2 linked regions of the Stegostoma tigrinum genome follow. The protein of the gene in region 1 interacts with the protein of each later gene in a pairwise test. Links are inferred from orthologs where the notes say so. Each region holds a gene or a part of one and is shown in the gene's direction. Other genes may lie near its edges.

What was found.
Region 2: the proteins of tsen54 (region 1) and tsen2 interact in a two-hybrid assay, tested with the Homo sapiens proteins (2 studies listed by BioGRID and IntAct). The two-hybrid records come from large-scale screens. The link is inferred for Stegostoma tigrinum from reciprocal best matches to the Homo sapiens genes TSEN54 and TSEN2.

What each region holds. Positions count from the first base shown.
Region 1 is NC_081375.1:51,131,435-51,142,344, reverse strand, and holds the start of tsen54 (tRNA-splicing endonuclease subunit Sen54), read left to right. Parts: upstream 1-6,028; 5' UTR 6,029-6,117; coding exon 6,118-6,158; intron 6,159-8,352; coding exon 8,353-8,517; exon of another isoform or gene 8,518-8,566; coding exon of another isoform or gene 8,567-8,634; intron 8,635-9,612; coding exon 9,613-9,676; intron 9,677-10,910.
Region 2 is NC_081364.1:24,972,787-24,984,685, forward strand, and holds the start of tsen2 (tRNA-splicing endonuclease subunit Sen2), read left to right. Parts: upstream 1-7,586; 5' UTR 7,587-7,845; intron 7,846-7,852; exon of another isoform or gene 7,853-8,031; intron 8,032-8,088; exon of another isoform or gene 8,089-8,146; intron 8,147-9,673; 5' UTR 9,674-9,716; coding exon 9,717-9,905; intron 9,906-11,899.

The sequences.
Region 1 (10,910 bases):
CTGGTATCTGAAATCATTCCAATCCTCTGTCAATTTACAAATCACTCCTTTTATCCTAGTCTCTTGAGTTGTCTATTGTTCTCTTTTCCTGTGAAATGTTTATTTCTCTATGAAATCAGGCAAACTGAAGTAAATCTGCAGGAAACTTCACACTGCACCAGTGTTGGGTAGGTGGTGAACTGTAACAGAATTCCTGAGCTGTACTGCTGGGGAGTGGGCAGTATTAATGAGGAGTTGTAAATCAGTACGAATATAAGACAAGCTGGATGACCATTGGAAATAGGCTTCAGTATTTACGTCTACAAATTTTACAGAAAACCAAAGAACTGTGGATGCTAGAAATCAAAAATGCTGGAAAAACTCAGCAACTCTGGTTGCATAGACAATAGACAATAGGTGCAGGAGTAGGCCATTCAGCCCTTCGAGCCAGCACCACCATTCATTATGATCATCCACAATCAGTATCCTGTTCTTGCCTTATCCCCGTAACCCTTGAATCCACTATCTTTAAGAGGTCTATCCATCTCTTTCTTGAAAGTATCCAAGACTTGGCCTCCACTGCCTCCTGGGGCAGAGCATTCCATATATCCACCACTCTCTGGGTGAAGAAGTTTCTCCTCAACTCTGTTCTAAATGGCCTACCCCTTATTTTTAAACTGTGTCCTCTGGTTCTGGACTCCCCCATCAGCGGAAACATGCTTCCTGCCTCCAGAGTGTCCAATCCTATAATTATTTTATATGTCTCAATCAGATCCCCCCTCATCCTTCTAAACTTAAGTGTATACAAGCCCAGTCGCTCCAATCTTTCAACATATGATAGTACCGCCATTCCGGGAATTGACCTTATGAACCTACACTGCACTCCCTCAATAGCAATAATGTCCTTCCTCAAATTTGGAGACCAAAACTGCACACAATACTCCAGGTGCGGTCTCACCAGGGCCCTGTACAGTTGCAGAAGGACCTCTTTGCTCCAATACTCAATTCCTCTTGTTATGAAGGTCAGCATGCCATTAGCTTTCTTCACTACCTGCTGTACCTGCATGCTTGCTTTCATTGACTGATGTACAAGAACACCCAGATCTCGTTGTGCTTCCCCTTTACCTAGCTTGACTCCATTTAGATAGTAATCTGCCTTCCTGTTCTTGCCACCAAAGTGTATAACCACACATTTATCCACATTAAACTGCATCTGCCATGCATCCGTCCCCTCACCTAGCCTGTCCAAGTCACCCTGTATTCTCATAACATCCTCCTCACATTTCACACTGCCACCCAACTTTGTGTCATCAGCAAATTTGCTAATATTACTTTTAATGCCTTCATTTATATCATTAATATATATCGTAAACAGCTGCGGTCCCAGCACCGAACCCTGTGGTACCCCACTGGTCACCGCCTGCCATTCCAAAAGGGACCCGTTTATCAGTACTCTTCGCTTCCTGTCGGCCAGCCAATTTTCAATCCAAGCCAATAGTTTGCCCCCAATACCATGTGCCCTAATTTTGTTCACCAATCTCCTGTGTGGGACTTTATCAAAGGCTTTCTGAAAGACCAGGTACACTACATCCACTGGCTCTCCCTTATCCATCTTCATAGTTACATCCTCAAAAAATTCCAGAAGATTAGTCAAGCATGATTTCCCCTTCGTAAATCCATGCTGACTCTGGCCTATCCTGTTACTGCTATCCAAATGCTTCGTAAATTCATCTTTTATAATTGACTCCAGCATCTTTCCCACCACTGACGTCAGGCTTACCAGTTTATAATTCCCTGTTTTCTCTCTCCCACCTTTCTTGAAAAGTGGGACAACATTAGCCACCCTCCAATCCGCAGGAACTGATCCTGAATCTATAGAACATTGGAAAATAATTACCAACGTGTCCACGATTTCTAAAGCCACCTCCTTAAGTACCCTGGGATGCAGACCATCAGGTCCTGGGGACTTATCAGCCTTCAGACCTAACAATCTATCCGACACCTTTTCCTGCCTAATATACATTCCCTTCAGTTCATCCATGTGTGGCGAGAAAGCAGAATTAATGTTTCAGGTCTAGACAGCCCTCTCCAGAAATGATCTACAGATGCAGCCAAAGCTCAGCAGCTCTGGCTACATCTGTGGATCATTTCTGAAGAAGGCTGTCTAAACCTGAATGCAGCCAGAGCTGCTAAGTTTTTCTGAGATAACAAGGTGTAGAGCTGGATGAACACAGCAGGCCAAGCAGCAACAGAGGAGCAGGAAAGCTGACGTTTTGGGTCTAGACCCTTCTGTTCTGAAGGAGGGTCTAGACCTGAAACATCAACTTTCCTGCTCCTCTGATGCTGCTTGGCCTGCTGTGTTCATCCAGCTCTCCATCTTGTTATCTCAGGTTCTCTAGCATTGGCAGTTCCTACTATCTCTGTTAAGTTTTCCAGCAGTTTCTGATTTTGTTGCAAAGTTTATGAGGTGGGAAATTTATACAGGAATGTCTTATTTGGGATATCTCTACTTGATGACTCATTGACTATGGAAATGAGTACCTGTTTCTGATGTGATGTCTTTCCTTGTCTGCAACTCATGTCCCAATTGCTCTTTGGGACTATCCCAATCAGTTATTACAGAGCTGGCGTTGCACCATCCATGTATCTATGGCAGTAGTTTGCATGAAGCAAATCTTTTGAAGCAGTGATAGTGCCCCTCTTTCTAGGCCAGATGCTGGGTGTTCAAGTCCCACTCCAGGACTTGTTGGTCATCTAAGATGTGGTTGTAACGTTACCAATTAGGCTATTTGTCTGCCTGTGAATCCTTCCACTATGTCTGATGGTAGGCAATAAATATGAGGAGAGTTTGCTGATCAGATGTTTTCTGGAAGATAAGGAAGATGAGAGATAAGGAAATAGCTGAAGAACTTAATAAGTACTTTGCGACAGTCTTCACAGTGGAAGACATGAGTAGTATGCCAACAATTAGGGAGAGCCGGGGCCAGAGTTGAGTACAGTAGGCATTACAAAAGAGGAAGTGCTAGAAAAGCTAAAAGGTCTAAAAATTGATAAATCTCCTGGCCCCGATGGGCTACATCCTAGAGTTCTGAGGGAGGTGGCTGAGGAAATAGCGGAGGCTTTGGTTGTGATCTTTCAGAAGTCATTGGAGTCAGGGAGAGTCCCAGATGATTGGAAAATTGCTGTTGTAACCCCCTTGTTTAAGAAAGAATCAAGGCAAAAGAGGAAAATTATGGGCCGATTCGCCTAACCTCGGTAGTTGGTAAAATTCTAGAATCCATTGTCAAGGATGAGATTTCTAAATTCCTGGAAGTGCAGGGTCAGATTAAAACAAGTCAGCATGGTTTTAGTAAGGGGAGGTCGTGCCTGACAAACCTGTTAGAATTCTTTGAAGAAGTAACAAGTATGTTAGACCAGGGAAACCCAGTAGATGTTATCTGTCTAGACTTCCAAAAGGCCTTTGATATGGCGCCTCATGGGAAGCTGCTGAGCAAGGTGAGGGCCCATGGTGTTCGAGGTGAGCTACTGCCTTTGATTGCGGATTGGCTGTCTGACAGAAGGCAGAGAGTTGGGATAAAAGGCTCTTTCTCAGAATGGCAACCGGTGACGAGTGGTGTTCCGCAGGGTCCAGTGTTAGGGCCACAGCTGTTCACCTTATATATTAATGATCTGGATGAAGGGACTGGGGGCATTCTGGCGAAGTTTGCCGATGATACAAAGATAGGTGTACAGGCAGGTAGTACTTAGGAGGTGGGGAAGCTGCAGAAAGATTTAGACAGTTTAGGAGAGTGGTCCAGGAAATGGCTGATGAAATTCAATGTGAGTAAATGTGAGATTTTGCACTTTGGAAAAAAGAATACAGGCATGGACTATTTTTTAAATGGTGAGAAAGTTCGCAAATCAGAAGTACAAAGGGATCTGGGAGTGTTGGTCCAGGATTATCTAAAGGTTAACTTGCAGGTAGAGTCCGTAATTAAGAAAGCGAATGTAATGTTGTCGTTTATCTCAAGAGGGTTGGAATATAAAAGCAGCGATGTGCTTCTGAGGCTTTATAAGGCTCTAGTTAGGCCCCATTTAGAATACTTTGTCCAATTTTGGGCCCCACACCCCAGGAAGGACATACTAGCCCTGGAGCGTGTCCAGCTGAGATTCACATGGATGATCCCTGAAATGGTAGGTTTAGCGTATGATGAACGGCTAAGGATCCTGGGATTGTACTCATTAGAGTTTAGAAGGTTGAGGGGCGATCTAATAGAAACTTACAAGATAATGTATGGTTTAGAAGGGGTGGACGCTAGGAAGTTGTTTCTGTTAGGCGGGGAGACTAGGACCCGTGGGCACAGCCTTAAAATTAGAGGGAGTAAATTTAAAACTGAAATGAGACGACATTTCTTCAGCCAGAGAGTGGTGAGCTTGTGGAATTCATTGCCTCTGCTGTTTTAAAGCGTCAGATCGACCTGTCTGTTCTTTCCACCTTCTGTCAGGTGAACAGGTACATACATCGTTACACAAAAGAACAAAGAACTTGCATTTATATACCAAACCGCACAACCTCCAAACTGGCATGAGTGTGTGCTACTCCTGATCTCAGGCTAACAAGGTAATTTTGTAAACTAATAAATGGAGAAAGAGACTGTCAGAGAGAGATTAGCTCATCACACCTGGCCCTTAACTTAGGATGAAAATAACCAAAACAAAAACCACCCAGGATTTCGATCCATCCGTAACTAAGTCATGCAGATGTTGACCGAGTATGCTGCTTTGTTGTCACATGTAGAAAACAAACAAGAAAGTCCACAAGCCAGTGCCAGATTATTGTGATTACAATCATCACAAATAGTTGCATTTACATCAATACCTGATCGAGAAGTCTCAAAGGAATCCACCCCAAGTTAAACAGAAACCCTTGAACTCAGCAGCTGAATCTATACACATTCCAGATCCTGAAAACCAGAGATGTTCTCCCATTTGTCACTATTTTCTAAACAGACTGAAAGCGGACGATGGGGTGTTTGGGGTATGGGAAAGCACATTTCACCAAATTTGCCTGGTCAGTTTTGGTGACTTTTGCGATTCAAACCCCACACAGCCCAGGAGGGACTACATAATGGCTGCAAAGAATAGGAACACAAGTAGGCCATTCAGCCCATCGAATCTGCTCTCCCGTTTAATAGGATCAAGCCTCATCTAATCCCCTTTCTGCCTTTTCTCCTTAAACCTTGATTCCCCAAATAGTCGAGTCTACCTCATCCTTCAACACACACAAGGACTCTGCCCCAAAGCTGTGTGTGTGTGTGTGTGTCAGGGAGTTACAAAGACTCACCATCCTCTGAGAGAACAAATTCCTCCACATCTCTGGAGCAGGAAAGTTTACATTTGCTGTAAGGACCCTTCTACAGAAATGTCAGAAACGTCAGCTTTCCTGCTTCTCTCTAGCTGCCTGGCCTGCTGTGTTCCTCCAGCTCCACACTATTATCACAGACAAATGCTGGACATACTCAGCAGGTCTGGCATCATCAATGCAGAGAGAAAGAGCGTAACACTTTGTCGGCAATGGGAACGGTCGGGGCAGTGGAACAGGGGTGGGCAGTAGGACCCGGCTCTTTCTGTGCCGACAATTGGACCCGCCGGTTCAGTGAGCGGGCACCTGAACTCGCGGTGACGCTATGCGGGCACTAGGACCTGGCGGTGTCAGTGAGCGGGCACCAGGACCCGGCGATGTCAGTGGGAGGGCACTAGGACCCAGCAGTGACGTGATGCGGGCACCAGGACCCGGCGATGTCAGTGGGAGGGCACTAGGACCCAGCAGTGACGTGATGCGGGCACCAGGACCCGGCGATGTCAGTGGGAGGGCACTAGGACCCGGCCGTGTCAGTGAGCGGGCACCAGGACCCGGCCGAGTCAGTGGGAGGGCACTAGGACCCGGCGATGTCGTTGGGGGGGGGGTGCACAAGGACCCGGCCGTGTCAGTGAGCGGGCACCAGGACCCGGCCGTGTGAGTGGGAGGGCACCAGGACCCGGCCGTGTGAGTGGGAGGGCACCAGGACCCGGCGATGAGTGGGAGGGCACTAGGACCCGGCAGTGACGTGGTGCGGGCACTAGGACCCAGCGGCCCCGCTCTTGCCTCAGTCCTTGGAAATGGAGGCGGCTGGGCTGGGAGCCGTGAGCCGGAGCCTGAGGTAAAGGAGAGGGAGGCCTGGGGGCCCGGGTCAGTGACGCTCCGCGTTAAAGTCGGGGTTCTGAAGTGTGGCTGTGGTGTTTTGCTGCCCAGGCTGGTGGATGTAAATGTAGCACTGACAGCAGTGCGGCTTCAAAACAAAATGATCTTCCCTCAGACTGGATTATTATGGTGTGTGTGTGTTAGTTAGTTAGTTAGTCTGTCTCTGTGTGTGTGTTAGTCTCTGTGTGTGTGTGTGTTAGTCTGTGTGTGTGTGTGTCTCTGTGTGTGTGTGTGTGTGTGTGTGTGTGTGTGTGTGTGTTAGTTAGTTAGTCAGTCTGTCTCTGTGTGTGTGTTAGTCTCTCTGTGTGTGTGTGTGTTAGTCTGTGTGTGTGTGTGTCTCTGTGTGTGTGTGTTAGAGAGGGTAGATACTGAGAGGATGGTTCACCCACACCCCCTTCATGGGGCATAGTCTCAGAATAAAGGGGGCACCAGTTTAACCCTGAGATTTGGAGGAATTTGTTCTCTCAGAGGATGGTGAGCCTTTGTAACTCCCTGACACAGAGAGCTTTGGGGCAGAGTCCTTGTGTGTGTTTAAGGATGAGGATCACTCTTGACTAGACTGAAGTTTAAACAGAAAGGGCAGGGAAGTGGACGTGAAGAATATGAGATGCGTTTCGATCCTATTAAACGGCAGAGCAGACTCGATGGGCTGAATGGCCTACTTGTGTTTCTATTCCTTGCAGCCATTATGTAGTCCCTCCTGGGCTGTGTGGGGTTTGAACCGCAAAAGTCGCCAAAACTGACCAGGCAAATTTGGTGAAATGTGCTTTCCCATACCCCAAACACCCCATCGTCCGCTTTCAGTCTGTTTAGAAAATAGTGACAAATGGGAGAACATCTCTGGTTTTTAGGATCTGAAATGTGTACAGATTCAGCTGCTGAGTTCAAGGGTTTCTGTTTAACTTGGGGTGGATTCCTTTGAGACTTCTCGATCAGGTATTGATGTAAATGCAACTATTTGTGATGATTGTAATCACAATGATCTGGCACTGGCTTGTGGACTTTCTTGTTTGTTTTGAACTTGTGACTAACAAATGCAGCATACTCCCTCAACATCTGCATGACTTAGTTACGGATGGATCGAAATCCTGGGTGGTTTTTGTTTTGGTTATTTTCATCCTAAGTTAAGGGTCAGGTGTCTTCTGACAGCCTCTTTCTCCATTTATTATTTTACAAAATTACCTTGTTAGCCTGAGATCAGGAGTAGCACACACTCATGTCAATTGAGAGGTTGTGGGATTTGAAATCTGTAACATGAGTAAGTTAATGAGCAATGAAGCACAGTGGGATCTCAAAGACGTGAAAGGTGCTGTATAAATGCAAGTTCTTTGTTCTTTTGTGTAACGATGTATGTACCTGTTCACCTGACAGAAGGTAGAAAGAACAGACAGGTCGATCTGACGCTTGAAAACAGCAGAGTTGCCACAAAAGAGCAAAGATTTGCCTTTATACAGTACTCTTTATAGCCACTGTGCATCTCAAAGGTACTCCTAGCCAATGAATTACTTTAGAAATGCAGATGGTGTTGCAAAATAAGAAATGTAGCTGCCACATTTGGTGTTCATGAAAGTTTTCTGTGCACAGTTTGATAACTCCCATATAAGCTGTTTTTGTGATGTTTGTTGAAGGAGATGCCCTGCCCATGTTCAAAACTGTGGCATGGCATATTGTACGTTCCTGTCCCTGAGGAAGATAGTAGCCGAGTGGCAGTGTTGGTCTAGTAATCCAAAATTCCAGGCTAATACTTTGAAGGTGTTGATTCAAATCCCATCACAGTCCGTGGTGGTGACTGATGGAATTTGATGGAACTGATGAAATCCCAATTCAGGAATAGTGACTATGAAACCATCATCAACTACTGTAAAAATCCAATTGGTTCACTAATGATGGAAGTCTGCCATCCTTACCTGTGACCTACAGCGATGTGCTTGTGTCTTAATTGTTCTATGGCCAAGCAAGCCATTTAGTTCAATGGAAAACGTGGCAATAAATGCCAGCCTTGTCAGCAAAAGCCATAAACTTTGAAAGAATAAAGAACCTAGCAGACAGATGTAACAAGGGGTACACTTTCTACGTTATATTGAATAATAAACGTATGCTTTAACAAGCAGGCACCTAATGTTTGCAGACTTTCTCTTGTGTCCCTTTTGCAGCTCTGAGGAATTGTTCGCGGCACGATCCCGGGATCACAAAATTCCCCAACGGACCCATGGACAGAAAGACTTCATTCCGGATCACTCTGAGGAGCAGATGGAGCGGCTTCGGGTGTGCCGAGAGGAACAGTGGCAGCTGCTGTCTGAAGAGCGAGTGGAACGACTGTAAGGATTGCTGCTTGTCAGTCAGAAATACCCGGGGCCTGAAATATCCATGGGGCAGCTGCCAGAACTCGGCAATGGGCCTACTACAATAACTATAGCTCAGCCACACAGGCAGAGGTAGGAAACAGACAGCAGGAGAAGCTTCTGTATTGTGGGAGCACGGTGCAGTTCCTTTGATTTGACATTGCGAATACGCTGATCAGACTGACCCCTCAGTCTCTGGTCCATTGTGAAGTACATAGTCTCAGCTGTTTTCTAGCTTGCTTTGGTGAGAGTTCAATGTTTCAACCTATTTTGTAGGTTTTTGGGTTGCAGTGTATATTACCTACTGATTAAAGCTTTTCCTCTACACTGACCCCATCAAACAGCTCCTGGACAGGTACAAAATGGGATTTTATCCAGAGTAAAACTCCTTCTACGCTGTCTACATTATATACTCCCAGGACCGATTCAGCACAGGGTTAGATACAGAGTAGAGGTCTTTCTACATTGTCCCCATCAAACACTCCGAGGACAGGAATGGCATGTGGTTAGGTACAGTTTAAAGCTACTCTAACTCTTTTAAACTAGAAGTAAATCTTCCTTTGTTCATTTAAACAAATAGGAAATGGAAAGTGAAGGCCCCTCAATGCTGTCCCCATCAAAAACCCGAGAGCCAGGGATAGCACAGGGTTAGACACAAAATAGACATCCCTCTGCTCTTTTAAACTTGAAAGTAAATATCAAGATCATTGTACACTGTTCCCATCAAACAATCCAAGGACAGGGACAGCACAGGATAGGCACAGAATGAAACTTGCTTTAAACTTTCCATTAAAATAACCCCTTATCAGAAATAGCACACTTCAAACGCTGATTTTGTGTGATGTTGGGGAGATGATATCAATTGGCAGACTTTTCTGGAGTTCAGCACCGGTTGTTAATTCTTGTGACAGTCAGTGGATTAGTATTCTGCTGCTTGGACAATTATGACTGTGGTGGAATGTGAGGTTAATAATGTGTTGTGCATTCCCTGATCTGGCAGATTTATAGTCACTGAATTGCCGTGCCGTGCTTTGTGGGAGATAGTTGCATAAAGTTTCTCTTTTCATCTAGAGGAAGCCTGATAAAAGCTGAGTGGAAGCCCCAGGAAAGCATTGTGGAGCTGAAATCCAATGCAGTGAGTTTACTTTTCTTGCCATTCCCAAAGCAGATAGGTCTTGACAGAACCCTTAAATTCCAGAATGCCTTCTATTTTAATCATGTTTCAGTAAAAGTACATTCTTCCGTGTTTGTAACAAGCTTTTTAACCTGTTTCTATGCAATTCTTCTTTAGTAAGGGTGATTTTTTAAAAATGTTAACCGTTTGAAATAACATGCAGAAAGGAGATAGAAAGGAATTAATTACAGACAGTGGACAGTCTGATTTCCTTTTTGGTGCCCCTCTCTTTCTGTCCAAATCAGAATGATTGCCAGGACTCTATCCCAGTCCAGTCATTATGGTCAAAATGATCACACCTTGCCTGGGGTGCCTCTTCTAACTCTTCGATCTCCACAATTTACGAGTCAGCTGGGAGATGGTTGAAAAGCCACATTGTACCAAATTTCATCACGCTTCATTGTACTGTTACAAGTCATGACCAGGCATAGCTCAGTGCCAGCCCTCCTCTCCCAATGAGAGTGTCACGGATTCAAGTCCCATTCTGGAGAAAACCAAGGTAGACACTCCAGAGAAGCACTGCATTGTCAGATGTACTGTTTTATGTTGGACAAGTTTTTTTTAAAAACCGTTAGTGTTACCTGAGCTTCACTCACTGGATGAGCATATGAGACTCCATTGTCCCTTTCAGGTGCATATGAGAATTCACAAAACTATTTAACATGGGGCTAGAGAGTTCTCCCCAGAGTTCTGCCCAGCATTTATCCTACAACCAACATCAGCACAGATATCAAAACAGAAAATACTGATGAATTGCAGTACGATTATCCTCTTGAAACATTAACCCTATTTCTTTCTTTACAGATGCTGCCTGACCTGCTGAGTGTTTCCAACACTTCCTGCTTGGCCTGCTGTGTTCATCCAGCTCTACACCTTGTTATCTCATTTCCTGCTTTTAGTTGATTTCCAGCATGAATAACATTTTGCTTTGTGTGCTGCTGAAACAGATTATTTCATTGCTGTTTGTGAGAGCCTTCTGTGTGCTATTTGGTTAGCACATTTCTTCTGGCTCTAAAGCACTTTAAGACATTTGGAGGTTATTAAAGGCTGCTTGCAAAATGTAGATTCTTTCTTTCTAACATTCAGTAACTGAAGTTCATTGCAATGATTTTATTGTTGATAACCCAAGGTTAATGCAACCTGTCTGATTTCTTAATTCTATTGCATCTTCCCCCCCCTCCACCTCCCTTCTCGA
Region 2 (11,899 bases), on another chromosome or scaffold:
GAGGCTCAGGATGGACATGTCATCCAAGGAGTAGGAGGGGAAGTTGAAGTGGAGGCTGGGTGGCTTGGACACCATTTTGTGGAGCACCTATGCTTGGTTTGTGATAAACGACTATACGTCCCAGTCATGAATCACTTCAACTCGTCCTCCCACTCCTTAGACGATGTGTCCATCATGGGCCTCCTGCAGTGCCACAACGATGCCACCCGAAGGTTGCAGGAAAAGCAACTCATATTCTGCTTGGGAACCCTGCAGCCCAATGGCATCAATGTGGACTTTACAAGCTTCAAAATCTCCCCTCCCCCGACCTCCCAAAGCCAGCCCAGCTCGCCCCCACCTCCTTGATCTGTCCATTTTTTCTCCCTCCTATCCGCCCCTCTCTCTGAACTGCCCAACCCCCATCCTAATTCCGTGCCTACGCTCACCTTTACTGGCTCCATTCCCACCTCCTTGACCTTTCCGTCTTCTCTCCACCTATCTGCTCCACTATCCAACTTTCATCATCGCCTCCCCTCTCTCTATTTATTTGAGTCCCTTTCCCCTCTCCCATTTCTGAAGAAGGGTCTAAATCGAAAATGTCAGCTTTCCTGCTCCTCTGTTGCTGCCTGGCCTGCTGTGTTCATCCAGCTCTGCATCTTGTTAGTTCACATACTAAATTCTTTACTTGAGCAATTCACACCTCATGCTTATCAAATGTCGCAGAGCTGATTTATTTGTTTCTCATGGTACATAAAACAAGCATCGTGTGTATTTACCCGAGATGTTCCTTATCTTTGCTGATTGGGTAGTATAGCTGTCCCAATTCCACATCTTGTTTCTGTGCATTTTATATCCTTCAATTCTATCATTTTACTAAAACTCTTCTAACTGAAACTGCCTGTCTCTATTCAACCCTTAACGAATGCAGACTGCTTAACTCTTACTCAACCATTTCACCCTGGAGGTAAAGTTGAATTTCCATGATGGAATTATGCCTATTGCAAGAGGACAAATTAATTTCAGAATCGAATGCTACAGCATGAACGAAGACATGAAATTCCAAATATCCAGTATGAACTTAGAGTCACATATCTCAGCAGCAGCAAGTCAAGACCCCGGACTAGTAACCTCAAATGGACCAGATGAGATTTATAGTGTTTCACAGGCCATATTTATTAACAAACTGACAAATAGAGTGGGACAGAAACTAAAGAAAAAAGGTGGCTACCATAACAGAGTCAATCAGCAGAGTCAGCTGAGAAGATTTTGAAATAGAAACAGAGAGCGCATCACTCCAGTCAGAAGAAGTTGAAGGAAAAGGTGATAACTTGCATGCATACAATGAATGTAGATATTGAGAAAAGAAAGACTAACTAGCAGAACAAAAGCTTTTGTAAATACACGACCATAACCATGTATATATGGGTAATGTGGCTAACTCACAATGTAAATGACAGTGCATGCAAGCTTTTATTTGTTTAAAATTTGTTTATTTGTTTAGCTGGAAATGCACCACCGCACTAATTTCCATCCTAGTGTAGTGATGATGCACATTCACGGTAAGCAGTAATCTCACAAACCGTTTTATAGTGGAATGTGTGTTACAAATGTCAAAATGGCTGACAAAGACAGCTTCTACCTGTTAATAAAATGGCTATGCCGTGCATCTTGGCATTTGCCTAGGCTATGAATGGTATCCATGCTACATCAGAGAAACCCGTGATATTTCCGAAAAACTATTTGTCTTATTGGACTTGTCCATCCTATGTGTGAGTGAATCTGTGTGTATTTGGATTCAAAGGATTTAAGCTTGCATATTTGTGATTAATAATCTCTTTGCTATAATGAATACATTGGTTTTCTTGTTCATTGATAAAACCTGTTGTAACTTTCTTTTATCTTAGATCATGGTCACAAACAGGCATTAACCTCCTGGTAATTAAATTAGTCCTATTTCTCCCTTGCAACTACTTGTGCATGTTTTCCTTCCATTCATTTGTCTATGCTTGCATTTATCATCCATCTCTACTTTCCCAGACTACAAGTCTGGAATCACATGTGAGCTAGATATAAAGGGTGAACCAGATGGATCTTTACAACAATCACAAGTATGATAATCTGTATGATAATCATTAGAATAGCTTGGTAATTCCAGTAGTTTATTGAACTCAGATTTCACCATTTGTCATCATTGGGATATGAACCTATAATCACCAGAACATTATGCATGGTGGCTCGGTGGTTAGTACTGCTGCCTCACAGTGCCGGGGATCTAGGCTCAGCCTTGGGCGAATGTCTGATTGGGGTTTGCACATTCTCCCTGAGTCTGCTGGGGTTTCAGTCAGGTGCTCAGGCTTCCTCCCATAGTCTAAAGGTTTGCAGGTTAGTGCATTGGCCATGTTACTTTGCCCCATGGTGTCCAGGGCAAATGGGTCAGCCATGGGAAATGTGTGGTTATTGGTTTAGGTCGGGGTGTGGGTCTGGATGGGTTTCTCTTTGGAGGGTTGGTGCAGACATGATGGGCCAGAGGCCAATGTGCACTGCAGAGATTCTATGATTAGCCTGGGGCTCTGTATTATTAAATTAGTGACATTACCACTATGCCACCATCTTCCCTTAAAGCAGGGTTTGATTTCCACCATATTATTCCCACCAGGGTTGAGACATTTTATAAAAAAAATTCAACTGATTTTCAAATCAAATGTTTTATCCTATCAACAAAGTGAATGAGACTGTATAATTCCATACAAATCATTTAGAAATTAATAATGTTTATCCTGGTATTAACAAATTCTTTTGCTTTTTTCTGCTGGTACATTTATAGAGGAGCAATGCAAACGTACAAGAAATGTATTCCCAGTTTTTAAGGGCCTCTGTCACCATTTTTTGTACTCTTTCCAATTAATATTCAAGATAAGCCATACCTCATTGTATGTTCCATGATCTTGCAATTATCCATCCTTGGGATATTGAACTAAAATGAATAAACTAAAATAAATTTTAAAAAATACCAAACTGACAGCAAAAAGCATGAAGAATATAGTTAAGTTTACAATTTATTAGCCAAATGCTGCAACTGAGTAAAGTAAGTAACAAAAGTGAGGGATCAAATCCTAAGCAAAGTACTTAAATGATTATTACTATAATTTGAGAGGATATTTACATTGCCAGGTCAGTAACAGAAGTGCCATCTGGTGACCTTTAAGATGTAGTACATGATTAAAATGGAGCTGAATTTAAAAATTGCCACAATTTTTCTATAGAATATTATCCATTATATCTAGAGCATGTACCTACATGATTCTTCAAGGACAATGTAAAAGATATATCAAGAATTTTCAAGTAATAAAAGTGATATATTCAGTGTTGCGTATTTTCAAATGAAATGTCTTTAATATATTTCTGTTATCATTCATCAGCAAAACAAATAATTTATTCCATGTCTCCCTCTGAGTTTCAGAGCTTGAGAATCAGGTGCTAAACAGTAGTGCATGTTTTTGCAAGGTTGTGAGTTTTATGAATACCGTGCATCTTGTCGATAATATGCACTGCTGCAACTGAGCATCACTGGTGGAGTAACTGAATGACTGTGGATATGGTGCCAACCAACTAAGCTGCATTGTCCTGGATGGAGTCAAGATTCTTTACTATTGCTGGACCGGCACTCATCCGGGCAAGGGGAGAATATTCCATCACACTCCTGACTTGTGTCTTGTATATGGTAACAGACTTTGGAAAGTCAGAAGATAGGTTACTCACTGTAGTATTCTCAGACTCTTACTTGCTATTGTAGCCACTGTATTCATATGGTGAGTCTAAATCAGTTCCAGGTCAATGGTTACCTACCACCAGGATGTTGATAGCAGCAGACTCAGTGATGGCAACACTGGTGAATGTCAAGTGGCATGGGTTAGATTGTCTCTTATTGGGGATGGCTATAGCCTGGCATTTGTGTGGCAAGAATATTTCTTACCACTTGTCAGTCCAAGCCTGGATATTATCCAGATTTTGTTGCATTTGAACCTGAGGCTTCTGTATCTGAGGACTCGCAAATGGCACTGAACATAATGCCATCATTGGTGAACATCCCCACTTCTGACCTATGATGGAGAGAATGTCATTGAAGCAGTTGAAGATGGTTGAACCTAGGACACTACACTGAGGAACTTCTGCAGTGATGTCCTGGAGCTGAGATGACTGACCTCCAACAACCACAACCATCTTTCTTTGTGCCTATGACCCTAACCAGCCAAAGGTTTTCCCCTGATTCCCATTAACTCCAGTTTTCTCAGGCTTCATGATCTTTTAGAATTCCTTCTAGTGTTCATTTAGAGGATCTTTTTAGAGTTCTTTTGCTCTTGTACATTCAAGGCTATAGCTGAGAAGTAATGATGTATAATTGCATTGCTCAGTTTATTGTGTAGGTGACTGACAATTGGGAAACGTGTAAAGAAACAAATTTGCAATTAGGAACTTGTACATATTATAGAGTAGAAATAATGGGATGTGTAAATTATTGTAATATATATGGGGAAATTAGTCGTGTAAAGAAACCCATTCCTGGGGTATGTTCAGTAGAATCCTTTGCATCAGAATGTTTCCAGTCCAACGGGAGACGACACTGGTCCTAGTTCTTGGGATTGAGGTTTGCTAAGTGGATCAATGTCAGCAGGGAACCACTCAGGGGACAGTGATTAATGTATCATAACGTTTAGGGCAGAAGCTAACAAGAGTATAATGAGGAACAAATAATGGCAGAAGAATTAAACAAATACTTTGGTTCTGTCTTTGTAAATGAGGGCACAAATAACTTCCCAGATATGTTAGGGAACCAAGGGTTTAGTGACAGAGTGGAATTGAAGGAAATCAGTATTAATAAGAAAATAGTGCAGGGAAAATTAATAAATTTAAAGGCTGACAAATCACCAGGGCCTGGTGATATACATCCCACAGTACTAAGGGATATGGCCCTGGAAATATCAGATGCATTGATGATTATCTTCCAAAATCCTACAGATTCTAGAGCAATTCCTACAGATAGGAAGGTGGCAAAAATAACGCCATGATTTAAAAAAGGAAGGAGAGAAAACATAGGATTATGGACCAGTTTGTCTAACACCAGTAGTGGCTAAAATGCTAGAGTTTGTTATAAAAAATGTGATAACAGAACCTTTATGGAAATTATGAAAGAGTTTATAAAAGGCAAATCATGCTTAACAAATGAACTGGACTTTTTAAAGGACATAACAAGTAGAATAGCTCAGGAAGAACCAGTGGACGTGGTGTATTTGGAGTTTCAGAAGACTTTTGACAAGGTCCTTCATAAAAGGCTAGTGGGCAAAGTTAAAGCACATGGGATTTGGTGGTAATATATTGGCATGGTTCAGGAATTGGTAACAGAAACTGAGAAAAAATGGAGCATTTTCAGAGTGGCAGGCAGAGATTATTGGGGTACTACAAGGACCTGTGCTTGTGCCCAGCTATTCACAATACATTTAAACAACATGGATGACAGAACCAAATGCAACATTTCCAAGTTTGCTGATGACACAAAGCGGGTGAGGATACTAAGTGATGCAGAGGGCGCAAGGAAGCATCTAGGCCACTTCAACAGGTGTGTGGACAAACACATGGCGGGTTTAGCACAATGTGGCTAAATGTGAAATTAAACACTTCTGTGAGAAAAATAGAAAAAAATTATTTAAACGGTGATACATCAAGTGTGGATGAACATGAGATGCAGTTCTGGTTACCCTATCTAAAAAAAGATATATGTGACAAAGAGCGAATTCAATGAAGATTAAGTAGGCTGATACCAGAGATAACAAAGTGTGAAGCTGGATGAACACAGCAGGCCAAGCAGCATCCCAGGAGCACAAAAGCTGACTTTTTGGGCCTAGACCCTTCATCCTCCTCTCTGATGAAGGGTCTAGGCCTGAAACGTCAGCTTTTGTGCTCCTGAGATGCTGCTTGGCCTGCTGTGTTCATCCAGCTCCACACTTTGTTATCTTGGATTCTCCAGCATCTGCAGTTCCCATTATCTCTGATACCAGAGCTGGCAGGACTGTTCAATGAGGACAGATTGATTTGACTGGACTTGTAAACACTAGACTTTTGAAGAATGAGAGAAGACCTGATAGAAACATAAACAATTCTAACAGGGCTGAACAGAATGGATGCAGAGTGGATGTGGTCCCCAGTTGGGACTAGAAGCCGGGAGCAAAGTCTTAGGATATGGGTTAGACCATGTAGGATTGAGATGAAGAAAGATTTCCTCACTCAAAGGGAGCTGAACCTGTGAAATTCTCAACCACAGAAGGCTGTGGAGACACAGTCACTGAATATATTCAAGAAAAAGATTGGTAATTTTTTTAGATATTAAAGGTATCAAGTGCTGTTGGGGGGAAGCGGGTATATGATATTGTATAGAGGATCAGCCATGATCATACTTAATGGCAGAGCAGACTCAAAGACTAAATGGCCTACTCCCTCTCTTTGTTTCGATGTTTAGGTTAGGAATGGTATAGGTCAAGCATCAATCAGAGCATAATTAATTGGGAAGGGGGAAACTTGAATAGCGAGAGAACAGATTTAGCCAAATAAACAGGAATCAAAGAGTGGCAGACAAAACTGTAACTGAGCAATGGACCGAGTTTTAGCGGCAGCTAGTTTAGATTCAACCAAACTGCATTTCCACAGGGAAGTTGCTAGAGTAGGTGGACAAGCTGCTGACGAAATTTATTGCAGAGAAGTGTGAAGCCATTAAGCTTGGTGAGAGGAACAGGGACAGGCAATATAATCTGAAGGACACAATCTTAAAGAGGATGTGGGAGCAAAGAGATCTGATTACCACAAATCATTGAATGGATGATTGAGAGAATGATTAAAAAGGCTTTATAAATAGAAGCAGACCATATAAAAACAAAGAAGTTATGATAAAAGTAACACAGTGTGGAGCTGGAGGAACACAGCAGGCCAGGCAGCATCAGAGGAGCAGGGAAGCTGACATTTTGGGCCGGCACCCTTCTTCAGCTTTCCTGCTCCTCTGATGCTGCCTGGCCTGCTGTGTTCCTCTAGCTCCGCACAGTGTTATCTCTGACTCCAGCATCCGCAGTTCTTGCTATCTCTGAGGAAGTTATGATAAAGCTATGTAAAACACACACATTCTGCCTCAGATGAAGTATTTTCAGAAAGGACATAGTCATGCTTGGCAGGATGCAGAAAAGATCCATGAGAATGGTTTTGGAGTGAGAAACTTTGGTCCAGTAGATAGCTATTGGAGGACCTGTGGCTGCTTTCTTATGGTTTTTAAAATCACGTGGGGTCTAGCCAGAGTAGATGTTTTGCTGGCAGGACTTCAAGAAAAAGGACTGTACTTTGATTGGCAAAGGAAATAATTAGGAAAATGGGATAAACACTTTAAGCACCAGGCGGTTGGAATCTAGGATGTATGGTAGAAGCAGATTCCCCTGGCTTTCAAAAGAAATTGAATTGTTACATGAAAGAATTGCATGAGGTTAATTGTTTTAGCAGGCCAAATGGCCTGCTTCTGTGCAGTGCCAGTCTGATTCTTTCAAGAGTGCCAATCACCCTGTTCACACATCATAGATGAGGCAAATAGGCAGTTTCCAAAAAGAATTGAAAAACTCAGTTATGAAGGCATTCGTAAGTTATTTGCTAGAACAAATCTAAATTTGTGTTTTCAATACATTAGACGAAGAAAGCTTCATGCACAATTGATTAATGCAATCGAGGCACTTTATTGCGGAAACTCAATGGGAACGAAGAAACAGTAAGAGAGGGTTCGGTCGGTGATGTTTCTGGGTTGCACTGGCGGCTGATGCTGTGTGGACGCTTGAAACGGCCGTGAGTATTCTGGTGGTTACAATGTAGCAATGTTTGTGCTTGTTGTGAATGGGAATCTGGAGTATCAGTGTTCCGAACGTCCCTGTAACAACTGTTGGAATGTTATTTCCTTCCATTGCGGCACTTCACAGTGTGCTGACCGGTTTGGCTGACCCCTCACGGTAGGAGTGGGGTGGAGGGGGTACGGTACGCGCTGGGAATGAACGGGGGCGGTGAGCAACAGGGGCAACTGTGTTTTTGTGGAAAGCATGTGGGGAAAAAGGCGCAGATGGGGAGAAAAATGAAAAGAGAACAGTGGAAGGTACAGTATACGCGCGCACAGTAGATACAGTGGGGTGAGGAAATGGCCAGAGTTATGGAAAGGCCTGCTGTAGAGAGGAAATGAGGGACTGAAGGGGATGGAGGAGTAATGCAGAATGACATTTTCGAGTTTGAGGAATTAATTAGGTAAAAGCGGAGGGAGAACCTGTCGGTAAAAAAGACAGCCAATGCCTGGTTATCTTTGATTCCCTGAGATCTGTCTGCACATTGACAATCCGTGAAACCCCCCTCTTGGGTATTGTATAGCCCGATCATGATTCCCTATTGGGAGAAACGCTTCTGAAGGGTCTCAATGTTCTGAATGTAGACATTGTTATGTTTGGGGTCAAATTGGGAAGGCTTTTAATGTGGACTGTAGTCCATTGGGGATGATCTGGTTTCGTAGGCAGGGACTAAGAAAGGTGATATGGCTGTAGTATCTGGTTTGCTTCAGGATATGGTCGAGCAGTTTCAAGGCCGAAGAGATTACGAGAGAGTTGCAGTGGGAGAGAGATCCCCTGAGGTTGGTCTGGAGGGAGGAGGGTAACTTCTTCAGGGTAGGCATCCTTAGAAGAGGCTTCGCAGTGAGGTTAAAGTTGTAACAGACATAATAGAACCGCAGATGCTGGACAATCTGAGATAACAAGGTGTAGAGCTGGATGAATACAGCAGGCCAAGCAGCATATTAAGAGCAGGAAAGCTGATGTTTTGGGCCTAGATGAAGGGTCTAGGCCTGAAACATCAGCTTTCCTGCTCCTAAGATGCTGCTTGGCCTGCTGTGTTCATCCAGCTCTACTCCTTGTTATTCCATGATTCTCTATGACTGAATCTCAGTGGAGAGGATTGCAGGAGGAAGAAACCCCTTCTCCTTGGCTGCAACTGCTTGTGACGTCTGTCTAGAGAGGATTTGAGTGGCAGACCAAGCATTGATGATAAAAATATATCAGTTTGTTAAAACAGGTACTTTAACAGTTGTTTAAAACCTTGTTGGAGACAAGCAGCATGGTGGCACTGTGGTTAACACTGCTGCCTAATAGTACCAGGAACCTTGATTGCATTTCAGCCTTGGGTGACTGCCTGAGTAGAGTTTGCACTTGCTGTCTGTGTCTGCGTGGGTTTCCTCTGGATGCTCCAATTTTCTCCCACAGTCCAAGGATGAACAGGCTAGGTAGATTGACCATTGTAAATTGCTCTGTAGTGGCAATAGATGTGCAGGCTAGGTGGATTAGTCATGGAAAACACAGGGTTATGGGGACAGGGTGGGCATCTGAGTCTGGATGGGATGTTCTTCAGTGGGTCAGTGCAGACTCAATGGGCCACATGGCCTGTTTCTACACTGTAGGTATTCTGTGTACATGGCTATAAAGATCTGAAATGATTCATTATAAATTAGCAGTGATACCTTCCAACAGAATTGTGTTTGGCATTTACCTTATTAAAAACTTCAGGGAATTTATTAACTGGCTAAGCTGCTCAGTAATTGTTTACCCATGTAAAACCCTTAACTTCTGAATATTTTAATTTGAAGCAACCATCCTGTCTGAAATTACTTCAAAGGAATCTTTGGTGCTATGGCAGAAGCAAACTTCTGTGCGCCAAAAAGAAAGAGAAGAGTGTATGAATCTTACGAAGCTCCTTATCCTGTGCCATTAAAACGAGAAGAATCAAATGCATATGAACAAGAACATTATTATGCAGAAATTATGAATAACAACGTAATTGTGAGGAACCCAGACAGTATGCAAGCCCTTTATGGAAAGGTATTTTAGGATCATTGCTTTTTCTCATTTACTTTAATGATTTGAACGTGGCGTTATAGGGCACAATTTCAAAGTTGGCATATGACATGCAACTTATAAGCAGTGAGGAAGATAGATAGCCAGGAGCAGACATAGACTGCTGGTGGAATGTGAAAACATGTCGGACGTAGGTAGGTGGTTCAATTTGAGTGGAAGAATCAGGTAAAATAATACAAGCCGAGCTGTACAATTTTAAAGGCTGATGCAAGAACATAAAAGATGGAAGGATTTCACAAAGAGTTCATTTAATATGCCAGGACAGATTAACAATTCAGTTAATAAAGCATATGAGGTTCCAGACTTTGTAAATTGAGGCATTGAGTGCAAAAGTTAGGAACCTTTATAGGTTCCAACAGCAGGAATGTGTTTAATTCTGGGCACTATACATTAGGAAGAATGCAAAGTGTTGAGAGGATGGCCAACTTGATGTTTTTCTTTTGTTATGCATTGATAGGATGTTTGAGTCCTCATTACCAATCCATAATGCCTTTGAGAAAGTGCAGATGAGTCGCTGTCTTCAGCTGGTGCAGTCCTGTCCATTACTTAGCTGATGACTGAGAGTAGACTTTGGGAGTAATTGGTCAGGTTGGAGCTGTCCAGCTTCGTGTGGACAGGCGATATCTGGGAAATTTTCCACATTGTCAGGTTGATCCCAGTATTGTAGCTGTATTGGAACAGCTTGACTAGGGATGCAGCAAATTCTGGAGCTCAAGGCGTCAGTACTATTGTTGGGACATTGTCAGGACCTATAGATTTTACAGCGTCCAGTACCGTCATCTGTTTCTTGATAGCATATGGCATGAATCAGACTGACTGTGACACAGTCAAGAGGATGCCAAGGCGGATCATCCACTCAGCACTTCTGGCTGAACACAGTTTCAAACACAAACAGAAACAGAAGTTGCTGGAAGATGTCTGCAGGTTTGGCAACATCAGTGGAGAGAAATCAATTAATGTTTTGTGTCCAGTGACCCTTCTTCAGAACAGTTTCAATTGCTTCAGCCTTATCCATTGTACCTGTGTGTTGGCCTCTGCCCTCTTTTTAAAGATGAGGATATTTGTGGAGCCTTCTCCTCCAGTGAGTCATTTCATTGTCCACCACCGTTCATGACTGGATGTGACAGGACTGCAGAACTTAGATCTGATCCATTGATTCTAGGATCACTTTGATTACTGTATCCTGCTTCTGCCGTTTTGCATCAAGTAGTCCTGTATTGTAACTTCATCGTGTGTATGCCTGGCGCTGCTTCTGGCAGGTGCTACTGCACTTTTCATTGAACTAGGTTTGATCTCCAGGCTTGATGCTAATAGCCAGTATTTGCCAGGCCATGAGGTTACAGATTGTGGTTAAATAAAATGTTACTGATGGCCCACAGTGCCTCACAGATTCCCAGTCTTGTTCTGTGAGATCTGGTTATCACCTTTCACAGTTAACACAATTGCCACACATGATAATGGAGTAAAAATGAAACTTTACCTCCACAAAGTCTGTGCGGTGGTCACTTTTATTGATAGTGGCAACAGCAGATGCACCTGCAACAGATAGATTGACACCAGATGATCCATTTGGTTTCATTCCTTTCTTTCGATTTTTTTTTTTAATGGTTTGAGGGTGGCTTTCTAGACCATTTCAGAGAGCAGTTGAGAGGCAACCATATTGCTATGGGTGTAGAATCACATGTAGCAAAACCAGTTAAGGATTGCAGATTTCCTTCTCTAAGGGTATTAGTGAACTTGAATAAAAACCAAAAGAACTGCAAATGTTGTAAATCAGGAACAAAAACAAAGTTTCTGGAAAAGTTCAGCAGGTCTGGCAGCGTCTGTGAAGGAGAAAAATAGAGTTAACGTTTTGGGTCCAGTGACCTTTCCTCAGAATAGGAAGGGCCTGAGGAAGGGTCATTGGACCCGAAACGTTAACTCTGTTTGACCTTCAAAGATGTTGCCGGACCCACTGA